Rattus norvegicus: one gene and its partner. The protein of the gene in region 1 purifies or fractionates together with the protein of each later gene. This does not show direct contact. Links are inferred from orthologs where the notes say so. Each region holds a gene or a part of one and is shown in the gene's direction. Other genes may lie near its edges.

Region 1 (3,500 bases):
GATTGTGGGGTGCACAGTCCCCTTAGTGAAGGCAGCAAGGTGGAGGGTCCAAATGTCTTGGCTTCTCAGGCTGGCTCTCCTGTTCCCCTGCTTGTCCAGGAATCCCTTCTCCAGCCCCACTGAGATCCCCCCAGGGCCTTCCATCCTGACGCCTGCCACCGACCGACCAACTGCTTCTCACATCCTCCCTGGTGAAGAATTGTCACCTTGCTTCATATCTGCGCCCTTGTGGTTGGCTGGGGAGGGGGGCGGTGGGGGCGGGGGTAAGGTTAACCTCATTGTTGTCTTATATGGTCATTTAAATCTCCAAGGGCTTCCTCCAAGGGCCAAAAATAATCCAGAGACACAGCAGCTGTGTCCAGCACACAGAGAGGACCCGGCCATCTGCTTTGGTTCAGAGCCCTGTGTCTGTCTGTCACTTAGACTCTTTCTCCCGGCTTGCCCTCCATCCTCCTCACCGGCTCCAGCATGACCCGCTTCTCCTATGCAGAGTACTTTGCTCTGTTTCACTCTGGCTCTGCACCTTCCAGGTCCTCCTCTCCTCCCGAGAGCCCACCGGCCCGAGCACCCCTGGGCCTGTTCCAAGGGGTCATGCAGAAGTATAGCAGCAACCTGTTCAAGACCTCCCAGATGGCGTAAGTGACTCCCCACCTGGCCCCAAGACCACCCAGCTCACACCTCCAGCTGAGGCCGCAGGGGGGGGGTTAGCTTTGCAGCCCTAGATCCCCTTCCTGCTGCGTCTAGATTCTAGTGCTCCTACTGAGCTAGGCGTGGGGGCTGCAGCCTGATGCCCACTAGGAGTGGCATTCAGGCTGTGCTTGGGACTGACCTCAGATGTTTTCAGAGGTTGGGACCCTGCTGCTGGAGGAGTTCCATGGGACTCTGAATCTGGGGTTCCAGCAAGAGGGAGAGGTTCAAAGGACTGGTGTGTGTGTGTGTGTGTGTGTGTGTGTGTGTGTGTGTGTGTGTGTGTAGTTGACTTTCACTCCCATTCATCCTCCTTGTGTCTCCCCATACCACCTCCAGGGGTTCATCTGTGCACATCTAAGTCTCCACCCAGGACCCTTCATTTAAGGGCCAGGTGCCAAAGCCCAGAACTAATCGATTAACCGGGGCCAAGGGAGAGGGTTCTGCCTCGGGTATGGTGCCGATGGGATATTTGTGCCTCCCTCCTTGCTCTGGCTCAGAGTGGCCTTAAAAGCACTTAAAAGGGAAAAAGGGGGCCCTTTGCTGGTACCCCATTTCTGTGTGGCAGAGAGGAGGATACAGTTCTCATTCTCAGCCTCTCCAAGCCCTATGGGCACCACATTGTCCTTGGGACTTTGGGGTTGACAAAAAAAGAAAGTTCCAGTTCTAATCTGGGTACAACTGCCTATCCCTGCATGTCTGTCACAGGACACCCCACTCCCCCGCTCCTCCCCCACCGCCAGTCTCCCTTTTCTGCAAGGCAGGGTTGGGGAAGACAAAGCTGTCTCCCAAGGCCCTGTGCACCTTGCTTCTAGTCTTTGGTGGTTTAACATGCCTAGCAGCCTCTCCCTCTTTGAGGTGGGGACTTTGTCTCAGCTCCTGGGGAGGCTCTTAGTGTGTATGAGACACTGAGAGTCCCAGGATGTGTGAACCCCAGCTGGGGAGACCCATCTGGCTGGTGGGCCTGGACATCAAGTATTACATCGTGGGAACCTCTCCTCACCGAGGCCACAGGACCAGCCAGCCCATTCCCCTCCACTTCAGCCGTGGCCACATACCCCATGGGACCCTCCCTGAGACTGATGGAGGTTGGTCCTGTTGCTCCTGAGTGAATCTCAAGCGGGTGGCTATGATGGTGTTGATGGGCCTTCAGGATCTAGCTGGTCAGTCGCTTGTCCTTGTTGGGTCTCTGGCTTCACCCGTAGCTGCTATTAATAACCCAGAGGCTGAGAGGCAGGAGGAAGTGTTGCATGCTAGAGGAAGCAGCTGAGAGGGTTTGGGGGCTGGTCCTAGAGGTCCCCCTAAACCCATCCTAGCTCCTGATCCTAAGATCCTAGATAGTCATGGTCCCTACTGACTCGGTAGCAGGTGACAAAGGGAAAGAGGTCTCGGAGAACAGACAGACAAGGAAATAAATGGATAAGTGAGAAAAAATTGTCTTCAGTAAGCCAAACAAAGATGACCCCCACTGTGGCCTTGAAATCTTTTGACATTTAGAAGTTTTAAACTGTGAAGGATTCTAATTTATTAATCCTTCAACTATTGTCATTTTGCAGCAGCTGGGAGTAGGAATAATGGATTCGATGGGGAGATGGGGTGGCAGGAAGGCTGGGGGAATAGGGAGGGAGGGAGGGACCTTGGCAGGTCCTTGCCTTCGGGAGCTCTTGCAATCATTCAGCTAGCTGTGCATGGTATGAATCAGAGGGCCATCTTTTGGGAAGATTCCTCTGTAGTTAGCCAGTGTTAGCACTCTGTGCCCGAGTCTTCCTGGCAGAAGCAGTTTTGGGTGTGACATTAGCTTCAGCTCCAGAAAGGCGTGGGGGCTGCCAGATTCTCACACTAATTCGCTTGCATCCAATGATCTGGAGTACAAGCATTAGGCCCAGAACAAGCTGAACACTCGAGGAGAGACCCCAGAGCAGACACTGGCTCCTGCCCTCCAGTAGGTCCTGTTTGCCCTCAGGACCCAGGCCACCTGTCCTTGCCTCTGCCTACAGCTGAGAACTGGCTGCCGCTTGCTCTCACAGGGCTATGGACCCCGTGCTGAAGGCCATCAAGGAAGGGGATGAAGAAGCCTTGAAGGCCATGATCCAGGATGGGAAGAATCTTGCAGAGCCCAACAAGGAGGGCTGGCTGCCGCTTCACGAGGCTGCCTACTATGGCAAGCTGGGCTGCCTGAAAGTCCTGCAACGAGGTGAGGGCCAGCAGGGCACAGGGCTCTCTCTTGGTGGGGAGGGCAGGCTATGTAATGGCCTCCACAGACACAGTTAAAGTCACTGTGTTGCGGCGAGTGTGGGTGGGGTGGAGTGAAGAGTTGGGGCTGGGGGTAGGGGTGGGGTGGGGTGGACAGCCCTCTCTCTGTTCCCGCTCCTGCCCCTTGCTGCTGTCTCTCCATGCCTGTCAGTCAGGAAAACCCAATTCCTAGAAAAGAACAAGGGAAGAGCTAAGTTCTGGGACAGCCACTGCCAGTTTGTCCCAGAATGTTCCAGGGGCTGATTTGGTGTGGAAAGGCTCAGGCACAACTGTGCCTGTGCGCTGCCAAGGCTGTTCCCACCAACTGTGGGACCCTGGGCGAGCTCTGCCTCGTTTCCCAAGTCCATCTCTCTATTAGGTCAGATTAGGATTCATAATACCACCAGGCAGGTCACTCCGGCCATCGAATGGCCCCAACTCCCACCAACCACACCAGAGAAAAAGTTCCATGAGATGTGACCATTCTAACAGTGACTAAGGGGGCAAAGGAAAAATAGACACTTGAGGGCTAGGAGCTCAACCTCAGAAGGCTTCCCAGAGGAAGTGGCATCTAGTTCCAT
Region 2 (4,189 bases), on another chromosome or scaffold:
CTATGTTCTGCCAGAAATGACCATTTCAAGGTTACTCTGTCATCTGAGTTTGATGTGAATTGTGGTCTTTGTGGGTTTTGCTTTAAAAACACTGTACTTTGAGACTCTGAGGCATGAGCCGGAACTTGGTCATGCACTAATAAAGGGACTTATGTATTTTTTGTTTGGCTGGTTTTGGTTTTGGTTTTGAAGACAAGGCTTCTCTGTGTAGCTTTGGTTGCCTGAAACGTGACAAAGATCCACCTGCCGCTGTCTCCCAAGTGCTGGGAGTAAGGTGTACACCACCATGGCCCCACTGCCTCACATACTTCTAATTGGCTTAACTGGAGTCGTCGTGTAAATCTTTCTTCAGTGGGAATTTTAGCAGCAGGAGTGGCTGCAAGAGGGTTTCCACCACCTTTCCCAGGTGATAAAAACAACCTGAAGAATGGCGGTTGACGAGAGTTGAGCCTTCGCAGATCCTAAAAGCCAGGCCTAGGTTGGTGCACACCTTGAATCAGAGCACTCCAGAAGCAGAGGCAGGCAGACCTCTGTGATCCAAAGCCAGCCTAGTCTACATAATGAGTTCTAAGCCAGTTGGGGCTACACAGTGAGAACCCGTCTCAGAACCACAACCAGAAGCAGAGTGTGGTGGCGCATACCTTTAATCTCGCCACTGGGGAGGCACGGGCATGGGGTAGGCCAGGCTGAGACCAGAGCTAATTTCAGAACAGCCAAGGTTCCACAAGGAAATCCTGCCTCAAAAAACCAAACCAAAAACAAAACAAAACGAAAAATAACAACAAAAAAGGTTAAGGTCCTAATACATTTTAAGCTTAAAGAAACCCAAGATGTAATGTCTGGAGAGACCGCTCAGTGGTTAAGAGAACAGTCTGTTTTTCTCAAAGATCAGGGTTCAGTTCCCAGCACCCACATAACAGATTACAACTGTCTGTAATTCCAGTTCCAAGGAATCTGACACCTCACAGCAATGCACATAAAATAAAGTTAAAATATTAAAAAAAAAAATCTCTGAATTCAAGGCCAACCATTTTGTACCAAGCAGCCATTTTGTAAGATACAGAGGTTACAGTAAAGAGATTTCTGTCCCTACTCAGATAGTGCACATTTGGGAAAAAAAGAGACAAATGGAGGCAGGGACAAGGTGATTTTTTGAAAGCTCCGAGTTTAATACAATAGGACTCCAGACTGCTCGCTCACTGTTCCTTGCCTGTCATGCAGTAACTGGCCTGTGTCCACTACAAGAGCTTGTACAGGCCTCGCCCAGCCCCTCATGACGTCACTGTCCCGCGCCAGCCAATCAGCCTCGCCTGGCTCCGGCTGAGCGACTGTTCCTTGAGGAGGGTCTGTGGCTTGTGTTGTGACCCTGCTGAGCCACCATACCTCCCCGCCTCCGCGCCCAACGTCCGCGTAGCCGTTCTGCGCCGCCGCCATGGCCGACGTGGAGGACGGCGAGGAACCCTGCGTCCTTTCCTCGCATTCTGGGAGCGCAGGCTCCAAGTCGGGAGGCGACAAGATGTTCTCCCTCAAGAAGTGGAACGCGGTAGCCATGTGGAGCTGGGACGTTGAGTGCGATACCTGCGCCATCTGCAGGGTCCAGGTGATGGGTAAGCGATGCACGCGAAGTCGGGACCGCTGGGCGGGCCTGGCCGGCGAATGCTGGACCGGGCCTCCAGACACCGGATAGTTCCTGCAGGAAGTGGGCGTGACCGGGTTCCGGGAGAGGAACCTCGGGGTTTTCCTGGGCAGCCTAGCGGCCAGCAAATCCCACAGCGGATCCCTCTCGTGGATCTGAGGGTTGGGATGTTTAATGTTTTTGAGATGCTCTCACGTTCCTCAGGCTGGATTAGAGCTTGCCTATTTATCCGAGGTTGACTTTGAACCCTTGAGGCTCCTGCCTGCACCTCCCAAATTCTGGAAATTGCGAGCCTACGCCACTATCTGGATTCTGTCATAACCGAAATGATGCTCAGTCTGTTTGCTTCCGGATGCATTCGGTGGTGCTACTTGGCTGGCTTTTAAATTTTATTTTGACAAGACGGATCAGAACTTTCCTGTGTTGAAGCGAGGGCCAAGGTTTGCTTGATTCAGAAACTTCATCTTGCACCCTTCCCATCCTAAGACACCATTTCGTAGAGAAAACACTACCCTGCTATTTTGTGCCTTTTCGAAGAACTTCCTTTCATAGTCGTCTGTTTTAGTATTTTGAACGAAAATATCAGACCAAAATGAAACGTATCAAGACAATCTAGTTGAGTTTTGCACAGTTAAGAGCTCAGTCCACCTTGAAAAGAACCCTGTCTCTGTCTTTTTTTTCCAGACAGGGTTTATTTGTGTAGCCCTGGCTATTCTGGAACTCTGTAGACCAGGCTGGGATGCACCTGCCTTTGTCTCCTTAGTGCTGGGTTTAAAAGTGTGTGCCACCATTGCCAGACTCTTCCTCTTTTTTAGAAAGGGTCTATCTTGTGTAGCCAGGGTGTCTCCTGATGCGTCCTCCTCCCAAGTGCTACAATTTACAGAAATGAACCAGCAGGCCTAAGGCATGCTGGGGTTTGAGCTTCATCTCGGTACACTACCAACTGAGCTGCATAACCAGCCTGTCTTCCAGTGTGTTGGTTGTACCTGTAATAACAACACTCTGAAGACTGAAGCTGGAGGGACAGCAGTGCATTTGAGGTCAGGCTCGAACAAAACCAAAGCCAGGGAGGGACTGGAGAGATGTTTCCACAGTTAGGAGCACCACAACCACAGTTTGATGTTCCACACCCACCTGGCAGCTCATCACCCTCTAACTCCTGTTCCAATAACTCCAGCACCCCGTTATGACCCTTGAGGGCATTAGGCACATTTGGTATGCAAACACAGATGCAGGTAGCATAAACGTAATTTTAGATTACTGTGAGAATGCTTTACAAGGTGATGGGGGTGTTGATTGAAATAGATTTCTGTAGTTTGCAAATGTGCAATCAAGAGATTCTGAAGTCTTTGTACTCGCTTTTCAGGAAGTTTTCAACACGGTTCCAAACTTTACTTGTTTACTGTGTAAACACTAGTTTCTAAATATCCGATTTGACTAAAACACTAAAATACAGCTGTTCCACCCTTCTCCCTTGCTTAGGAACTGGGCCATAATTTCCATTTCAGAGTTGAGTGTGGTGACTCATGTCTGAAATACCGGCAAATACCGGCACTCAGGAGGCTGAGGCAGGGGCATTACTTTTGTTCTTTTTCAACACAAGCTTTGCTTAGAAATTTTATTCCTACCAGGTGTAATGGTATCTTTCATCTCAGCACTCAGGCAAAGATAAGCAGATCTCTGTGTTAGAGGCCAGCCTGGTCGACACAGCTGAGGCTAAGTAGGGGGACCCTATCTTACAAACAAATAAATAATGAATAAACCTTAAATATCTTTAATTTAAAAAGAGAGACTTTTTTAAAAAAAGAAGAAGAAGAAGAAAGATTTATTATCTATAAGTACACAGTAGCTGTCTTCAGACACACCAAAAGAGCGCATCAGATCCCATTACAGATGGTTGTGAGCCACCATGTGGTTGCTGAGAATTGAACTCCGGACCTCTGGAAGAACAGTCAGTGCTCTTGATCATTGAGCTATCTCTCCAGCCCAAGAGAGACTTTCTTTTAGCTCTTTCTTAGTTTAGGATGAATCTTTCCAAAGGGAAGTTTTAGTATATGTGCTGCCGAAGCGAGCACCCAAAGGGAAGTTTTAAAAGGATTTTTTTCCTTGGAAGGGCTATTTTTTCCACAAATCTAAATAGTAAGAGATGTAGATCCTAAAGTAACCAATGAAATGTTACAGCACAGACAGGTGCTTAACGTAGGCCCAAGTTTGGGTTATAGATAACTCCTGGTCATGTTCGTGGGCTGTGAGAGCTTAGTGCCACTCAGTGGTCAGGTGACCACAGGGAATTAAATTAAGACTTGGTAGTCCTGATCCCTGGCATTGTTTGAAAGGTTATTGTTGTATGCTGTAGAAATACTGTCTCAGATTAGGAACATCATTCACAGAACTATTTCTTTGATCAAAGTGTGGCAAATCTCTAACTTGAGACAGAGGCAAGAGCATCTCAGCATGTTAATTCAAGAGCAGCCTTGTCTGTAGAAAATCCAGGCCAGGCAAGATAAAACAAAAGGGGGAAAAAGACTTAAAAAGAGACTTAGAAACATTTTA

What was found. Proteins that work in one complex are often made in the same cells at the same time.
Region 2: the proteins of Asb2 (region 1) and Rnf7 purify together in Homo sapiens (affinity purification with western blotting; 3 studies listed by BioGRID and IntAct, with this or other methods). This does not show direct contact. The link is inferred for Rattus norvegicus from reciprocal best matches to the Homo sapiens genes ASB2 and RNF7.

The regions. Positions count from the first base shown.
Region 1 is NC_086024.1:128,255,151-128,258,650, reverse strand, and holds part of Asb2 (ankyrin repeat and SOCS box protein 2), read left to right. Parts: intron 1-530; coding exon 531-635; intron 636-1,026; exon of another isoform or gene 1,027-1,775; intron 1,776-2,714; coding exon 2,715-2,881; intron 2,882-3,500. UniProt on the Homo sapiens protein: Substrate-recognition component of a SCF-like ECS (Elongin-Cullin-SOCS-box protein) E3 ubiquitin-protein ligase complex which mediates the ubiquitination and subsequent proteasomal degradation of target proteins.
Region 2 is NC_086026.1:105,924,606-105,928,794, reverse strand, and holds the start of Rnf7 (RING-box protein 2), read left to right. Parts: upstream 1-1,389; 5' UTR 1,390-1,432; coding exon 1,433-1,607; intron 1,608-4,189. UniProt on the Homo sapiens protein: Catalytic component of multiple cullin-5-RING E3 ubiquitin-protein ligase complexes (ECS complexes), which mediate the ubiquitination and subsequent proteasomal degradation of target proteins.